Canis lupus familiaris: one gene and its partner. The protein of the gene in region 1 interacts with the protein of each later gene in a pairwise test. Links are inferred from orthologs where the notes say so. Each region holds a gene or a part of one and is shown in the gene's direction. Other genes may lie near its edges. The genes, in order: RABL6 and SPINK7.

Evidence for each region.
Region 2: the proteins of RABL6 (region 1) and SPINK7 interact in binary tests that used the Homo sapiens proteins (3 or more experiments, as listed by UniProt). The link is inferred for Canis lupus familiaris from reciprocal best matches to the Homo sapiens genes RABL6 and SPINK7.

Annotation. Positions count from the first base shown.
Region 1 is NC_049230.1:48,753,800-48,757,614, reverse strand, and holds part of RABL6 (rab-like protein 6), read left to right. Parts: intron 1-373; coding exon 374-421; intron 422-1,795; coding exon 1,796-1,848; intron 1,849-2,476; coding exon 2,477-2,568; intron 2,569-3,815. UniProt on the Homo sapiens protein: May enhance cellular proliferation. May reduce growth inhibitory activity of CDKN2A.
Region 2 is NC_049225.1:61,384,550-61,388,960, reverse strand, and holds the start of SPINK7 (serine protease inhibitor Kazal-type 7), read left to right. Parts: upstream 1-1,607; 5' UTR 1,608-2,403; coding exon 2,404-2,542; intron 2,543-3,439; coding exon 3,440-3,465; intron 3,466-4,196; coding exon 4,197-4,321; intron 4,322-4,411. UniProt on the Homo sapiens protein: Probable serine protease inhibitor.

The DNA of each region.
Region 1 (3,815 bases):
CTGGGTGCACCTACACAGGGTACCCTGGCTGTGTAGACCCGGCCGGGGACCCGCCTGTCCCAAGGACACCTGCAGGAAATGGAGGGTAGGTCAGCTGAGGATGGGCCAGGGCCATTCACTGCAGCCTGAGCATAAGCCTAAAACAGTGATGCACCTTGCTGTCCTCCGGGGGCGGGGAGAGGGAGAGGCTGCCATTTGTGTAGAGGCCGTGGGTGGGTGTGAGGCGTCCTTGGAGACGGTGCTGGTGGGGAGCCTCACCCACCTGGGGAAGAGTGGTACGCAGCAACTCCTGGACAGCCCCTAAGAGCCTGAGTGTGACCAGAAGGTCAAAGGTGGTGGTGGACCCTAATCTTCATGTCTTCCCCCATTTTAGCCACTGATGACATCGTCAAGGTAGAAGTCTGGGATGTAGTTGACAAAGGTGAGTCGTATCTTTTTATCATGAATACTTTTTCCCGACGCTTCCTTCCGTGTTGTGTCTTGGGTCTCTCGACAGAAGGGCCGCTCACAGAGGCTGTTAGAGGCCTGGGTCTGTGCTGTTCCTTTTAGTTTCTGGGTCTTAGATCAACTCCCTCCTGCATCTGGGGCAGAGGAGGCGGATGCACAGCAGTGACCAGTCAGGACCATGGCCTTTGCTGTTTAAATGCGTGTTTGACCCACTGAGACAGCGCCTGGCAGTGGGGGACTCACAGGGGCTGGCAGAGGAGGAGGGTTCCAAACCCAGGGGCCTGTGGGGCCTGTCCCAGGAGCCTTTCCTGCAGCACTGTCTGCGCAGTGTCCCCGGGCCCTGAGCCAAGAACCAACTTGCTGGCTTCCGAAGCCACCAGCCCTTGGGGGGACGGGGCCCCTTCCCGTGAGCGTGTTATGTTGTCACTGAGGTGGGAATGCCCTGTGGTGGGAATGCCCTGTGGTGCAGCAGAGACACATTTCCACCCTGGGGATCATTGACATGTCCTGCTTCTGCCTGTGGGAGGCACAAAGCCCACCCACCACACGCAAGGATGGCTACAGCAGGGATCCCGTGGTGGTGCTGGAGGTACTGTCCTGTGGCCCCAGAGCAGCACCCAGGAGGGTGCGCATGGCCAGCCCCTGCTGACCCGGGATGCCCGCTGTGCTCACAGGGCTCTGAAGGTGGCCAGAGGGTCAGAAAGAAGCTGTGGAGACCAGCAGTAGCAGGTTTTTAAATAAACAAACCCAGTGTGTGGGGAGGGAAGGGCTTTCTTAGTTTAGCCCAGGCTATTCCTAAGATGGAGGGACCTAGAATTCCCAGGGTGACACACAGCCCTTCCTTCTCCCTTAGAAGTATCTCAGAGATAGAGGGGAGGTGACAAGGATGGTCTGGAGCTCTTTACGGCTCAGGAGCCCCTAGAGCTGTGCCAGCTGCTGGTGTGCTCAGGGCCTGGGCCCAGCCTGGGAGGCCTGGGAGCATCCCTGGCCTCAAGGGCAGCACCTGAGAGGCTGGGCTGGGCGCTCCATCAGTCGGGGAAGGAAATGGGGGGGACATTAGGGCCATCTTGCTGAGCAGCCCTACTGTACCTGCCGGCACCTTCCAGTTTAGGCCAAACTGTAGCAACCCATCAGGGTCTCTTTCCTGGCTAGGACAGAGCGGCTCCAGCTGTCAAGGTCTCAGTGAGGTTGTGGTCGCTTCCTGCCACCAGTGGGGTTGCTTGAGTGCCAGCTGTGGGGACGTGGCACCTACCAGAGGTGGGGGCTGGTGGGTAGGACGGGGGGAAGAAGTGTCCCCACCCCCGGGGCCATGATTCCCCCTGTAACCCTTGTCTGTCATCCTAACAAGGGAAGTGCAGACGACGAGGTGATGGCTTGAAGGTGGAGAATGATCCCCAGGAGGTGGGTAAGCTGCCCCCACCCCCCGCCACCATGGGGCCCACCACTCCAGGTTGGGGGTTGGGACCCTCCCTGGTATTTCAGTGGTACCAGCTGGCCCCACTCCTTATGGGACCCTGTGTTGCCTACTGGTATATTTTGGGATGGCTGGGCTTGCCTGAGCTGCTGGTGGTGACACCTGCCAGGCCCCTCCTACGTGGTCCAGGTCTGTCTGGCCCTCTGTGTGACCCTTTGCTACTGCCCCCAGCACTGCAGTCACCTGTCTCTGTGCTCTAGAAGGTTCTCTGCAAGTGCTTTCCTCAGGTCTGGAATGTACACTCTTGGCCCTCTGAGTGATGGGAAGTTTGTGAGGCTCACAAGTAGGATGTGGTTGGTGAGTGGAGAAGGCCCTGAATCAGGGGCAGAGTTGATGTGGTCCTGGAACCTGAATGGTTTACTGCTAGACCCTTTTAGGCAAAGTTTTCTGACCTGAGCTCTAGATCGTCTCATTCACGTGTTTTTTTCCAACATGAAAATGGCTGTTATCTTTCGGGTTGTGCAAGTCCTTTTCAGCCTTCCCCAGGAGACAGGGCTCACAGCTGTGGGAGCCTGGCCAGAGCAGTCTCTCATGCCAGTTGTGTCCTGTCCCCAGGTGGAGTCCGAGATGGCCCTGGATGCCGAGTTCCTGGATGTATACAAGAACTGTAATGGGGTGGTCATGATGTTCGACATCACCAAGCAGTGGTAAGGGGGCGCTGGCTGGAAATGCCCATCGAGGCTCCTAGTACTCCACCACTTGGATGGCCACCCCAGTGGTCTGTCAGGTCGTGGTGACGCCTGCTGGTCACTGCTGGTGCCACACAATTAGAGGCTGTTCTTGGGCATCGTGCACACCAGCAGTTCAGCCACATGGAGGCCAAGGCTCGGCCATCTCTGGGGAGGTCCATGAGCACAGACGGGGAACGTGTGGAGGGCGGGCTGAGGTGGTACAGCACTGCAGCGGGGGGCACACCTTCCACAGCCCTGTGGCCCTTCCTGAAAGTACCATGCAGAACCAAGCGGCCACTTGTTTGGGGCTCCCCAAGACACTTCTGACGTTCTTTGACTAAGGGGACTCAGCTAAGATCCCAGGGAAAGACTACGTCAAGGCGCAGGGGTGTGAATATGGGGGTGGCCAGGTGCCAGCTCCCAAGGGGCCCCTCCTCATGGAGTCACGTGGGCAACATGACATGTGTCAAGTGGGGTCTGCCAGGGAAGAGATGGGACACACTTGATTCCCCAGGCCTGCCTGGCGCCAGTGTTCCCCCGCCCCCCCCGCCCAAGCAGAAGCACAGTATGCAGGTGTAGGGGTGTTGCTCTGGCCAGGTAGCTGCTGGCTGAGACCACCAGGAGTGGAGGCCCTATACCAGTGGGGACCAGCCTCCCCCGCAGGCCTTTCCAGGAACCACGGCCTCAGGCCTGCTGCCAGAAATGAATGTCTTCAAAGATGCTGAAGGAGGAACTGACAGAAGCCTGATTTAGAAATGGCCTGTGGGCCTCTACTCCATTTTCCCATTTTCAGTCTGTTTTTAAAGGGTTTTTTTTATTATTGCATATGTAGTCCACATTCACCGTAGCAAAATTGATCCTGCCATCAGAAGCTGGCACGGGTGTCGTTTGGTGGGAGCCAGCCAGGTTTTCCTCCGGGTGTTCCACATACAGACTTCTGTTTTCAGAACACTGGGATCTTTCTACCTTATCTGTATAGACGCTGCTTTTATCCAAGAATAGACTCACGCACAGTTGCGGCCGTCAGCCTTCCATGCGTTCACACGTTAACCCTGAGAATGCCCACAGGGTTCAAGTCTGAGGGATCTGACGGGGTCTCCCACTGGCCCACCTCGGGGGCAGGGACTGCCCACCAGCACAAGCAGGAGAGCCCCTTGGGTGGCAGCAGGCAGCATAGCCCTTGTGGCATGGTCATGCCTATACGAGAGGCAGCCACCCCACTC
Region 2 (4,411 bases), on another chromosome or scaffold:
GTGTGTGTGTGTGTGTGTGTATCAGAGTGCCAAGATCATAATTAGAGCTTCATACATGGTAGCTAGAATATGGAATGTGATCTTCAGAACAATTTACAGTTTTTTTCCAGTTACAGTTTTCTATACTGACTGTAATTAGCCATCCTCCACCATGTATGTCAAATTCTTTCTAGTTCTGTTTTGTTGTAAGACAGTTTCAGCCTATCCTAGACCTTGCTAAAGCCTTAGCTTCTTTCATTTCCCTCCTCTCTTTGACTGTCAAATGTCTGAAAAAATTATAATGCTATTCTCTACCTCATCCTAATCTCCCTTTGAACCCATTCCCATTCCTCTTTGCTAAATACATTTTCTAACTGCAACAAAGACACCTCTTCTTGAAACATAATGGCTTTTTCTCAGAATTAATTGTCTTCAAACTATCATAGCAAACAATAAAACTTATAATGAAGTGTCTTTATTATGGCATTCACTTCTCTTCTTTTCCACAACCAAACTCCACATAGTCTCCCCTATTAATTAGTATCATGATCTTGTGAAGATTACTTAAATCCTCTGAGTCTCAACTTACTCACTGGTAAAATTAGGGTAATAAAATTCCTTCCTCAATGAGTTGTCCTGAAGATCACATTCCATATTCTAGCTACCATACATGAAACTCTAATTATGATCTTGGCACTCTGATACACACACACATACACACACAAGAAAAAATATATATAACCTCATTCAATACTCAAAGTCATTCTGGGAGGTGAATATTATTTCTATTTTACAGATGAGGAAATTAAAACATCCAGAGCTTAATCTGTATATTTAAAGTCTCACAGTTAACAATTAGTAAAAGCAAGACTCCTAAAAAGACCTTCTGGACTAATTACCCATATTAACTACTACATTATATTCCTTTCCAAACAGATGTAAAAGTCAAAATTTTAGGGAGCCATGCAATGTCATTTATTACTAGCTTATTATCTTTGCAGATGCTGTGTTTCAGAATGCACTGAAATAAACCCATCAAGCAAAAGACTGGTCGAACAGAGTCTACCACCCTCCTACAGGTTTTTATACATATGCTCTCAAGCCCAACAGGGAAAACACAGCTATTTAGACAATTGTATTTGGACAATCCAATTTACAATCTCATGTCAGCAACCCATAGCAGAGACCTATGACTGATCATTAATAATAATTATAATAACAATTACATGCACCGCATTTTTTAGAACAGATTTTCATGTACATGACTCCAGTTCAGTAAATTCTATTGGGGTTATCAGCAGGCCTCACTTGATAGGGCATGAAACCAAGGCTCTAGGGTGGTCTTTGTATTGTTTGCCAACTGTTTTCCAGTTCTCTCCCTTCTCATCTTCAAGGGATAAAATAAGATCACACTGTAACCTCGATGATTGAGCCAGGTCACTTGCTGGTGAGGGAAAGTGACAGCAGTGTCACTTCTTTTTTTTTCTAAAGATTTTATTTATGTATTCATGAGAGATACACAGAGAGAAGCAGAGACATAGGCAGAGGGAGAAGCAGGCTCCCCGTGAGAAGCCTGATGCAGGACTCGATCCCAGGACCCTGGGATCACGACCTGAGCCAAAGGCAGATGCTCAACCACTGAGCTACCCAGGTGCCCCTGTAGTGTCACTTCTGAGGGGAATAAATAATTGCTGAAAATGGAAATCCTCAAGAACACATCTTCACTTCACCTTGACAATGAATGACATACAAAACTACTCGACTCACTTGGGATCCATTGAAGGCAATATGACACCATCTGCTGACAACTGTCTGTGGATAGCTTGAGTACAAGGTAAACATATATTAAGATACAGAAATTCTGAGGTTGTATGTTAGCAGAGAATAATCAGGTCTTTCTGACTGATACAGGCTCATGGCACATAGTTGACTTACCCAAGGTCACACGGCCACAAAATGTCAATGTCCTCCTCTAAGCCTCATCAGCGCTGAGGTCACTGTTCCTCCCACCAGGTCTCAGCTTGCTTCATAGTTCATTGCTTCAAAAATAAACAGTATTTCCCCTGGAGGCAGAATATAAACCTAAGTGTGATCTGTCTAATCTGAGTCTAATATTCTTTATTTGGTGAAAAATGTTTGATGTTTTTACTTATTTCATAACTAGACCAAGCAGCCTATACTTAATTTCTTTCACTATATGAAGTTGAGAATTCTAAATAACAGTCCCCCCCTCTGGTGCAGGCAGAAAAATACTTCTCACCTCAAATAATCAATTTGTCGTTCAGATAATAAGTAGCAATTAAGTGACAAGAACCTCAACACCACCCAGGGTGTGACATTGTGTTTTGAGAGCTTTTCAGAGCCAACACTGACTCTGGGTGACCTCACAGGAAAGGTGGAGAAACCAAGCAGTGGCATATAAACATGACCCCTTTCCTAGGATATGGTTCACAAAGCTGGTGTGACAGCCCTGAGAGCCTCTGTATCATAGCCATCTCCACCATGAAGGTCACTGGGGGGCTTCTTCTGCTCTGTGCAGCAACTCATTTCTTCAGCAGCTCAGGTGAGTTAAAGGCAGAGAGTGCCCTGTGTGGCCATTGAACTTGTCTTCCCAAATAACCCTTTCTAAGCATTGGAGGGAAATGTCTGATCATGTGGATTTAAAGTGTACTGGCTTATAATACAAACAGTCCTGGCCTGGGATGGGAAATTCTTTTTTTTTTTTTTTTTTTTTTTCTGAAAGGGAAGGGAGATTCTTATGTGCCAACAGGTGTTTGGGAGTTTGGATCCAGTGTCTTCCCTTTCAAGGATTTTTATTTTCATCCATGGAGCCATAGGAAAATAAAAGAACTGATGTCTTCATAAGTCTACCATTTCATAAGGACACTGGAAGCAGCTGGTGTTATTAGATACTATCCCTCAGTGCAATGACACAGAAAACCGTGGATGTCTCTCCAAATCAATTCAGGAGAATCAAAATGAAACACAAATCTCCAAAGCCCAGGAGTCAACAATTAGACTTTTATAAGTCTTTATATGGTGAAAATGGTTTCAATAAATTAATATTGTAACACCTTAACATTGCGTTACATTTTTTACATCAATTCAGAGGGGGAAATATCAAAGATGGCGGCACTTCAGGCTCTTAGGAGGGGTGACTGCAATACTTTTTATTGCTATCTGACTCTGAATCATTATCAAAGACACAAGCTCCAGAAAATGTCCCATAGTCAATAAAGGGAGGAAACTGTAGTTAATTCTCCTGCCTAAATAAAAGGCTTACATTACTGGCCATTTGGCTTCTTCATCAAACAGAGTTTTATATAAGAACAGAGTGTGTGCTAAGATTCATCACCAGAGCAAATACAGAGTCTTAATCTATAGGCCCAAATTTATTTAACCAATGAGACTTTGAGACCTTGCTTTATTTTTAATATTTCTATCCATAACTCTCTTTCAGAAGCTGCTAGTCTGCCTTTAACCACAGTGAGTATATTGAATTACATTTTAATTTCAATTCCTATTGACTGGCATTTAGTCAACAAATGCTTTTGAAATTTACATGCAGAATTAATTCAGTGTGTTTGGGGAGGGGGTTAAGAGGGAGACAGACACAGATTAAAAATTCTCCTCTGCTTTCCAGAAGGCAGCTGAAGAAACATGACATACATATAAGTAATCATAGAGTTAAAAAAAAAAATCCCAAGTTAAAGGAGAGAGAGATGACTTCCAGCTGAGAGGTTGGCAAAGTCTTCATGGAAAGGACAACATGAGAGGCAGAACAGAGTTACCTTGGTTAATTGCACAGGCTCTAGATTCCAATCCCAGACCCATCACTGACTAGCTTTTACATTATGCATGTTCTCTGTTTTAAAGCCTTAATTCCCACCATCTATAAGTAGGCGTAATAGTAGGACCTATCCTATTCCATTGTTATGAAGGTTAAACAAAGAAAATTCACATATAATTTAAGCTTAATGCCTAGCATGGAAACGCTCAGGAATTAATAGAATGTGCTAGTAGTAACAGAAGTGTGGACAGCAGTACTAGTATTTAGCATGGCAATAATATTAGTAGTAGTAGAAATAGGCACAGCAGCCTCAGAATATCTGATCTGGGACTCCTAGGATGGTATTTTGCTTCCTGCCCAACAGAGACCAGTGTAGCCTATCTTGGGGGCCAGGAGACCCTAGGACATTCTCTTGTGCCTGTTGCAGGTGGACTGCAGTATTTACAAGAAGTACCCAGTGGTGGCCATCCCCTGCCCCATCACATACCTGCCTGTTTGTGGTTCTGACTACATTACCTATGGGAATGAATGTCACCTGTGCATTGAGAACTTGTGAGTACCTCATAGAAAATAAATAAGTTGCGGCCAGTGTCCTCCACTGCAAAACTCTCTTCTTTCTATGAGCCCATTTCACTTTCCATG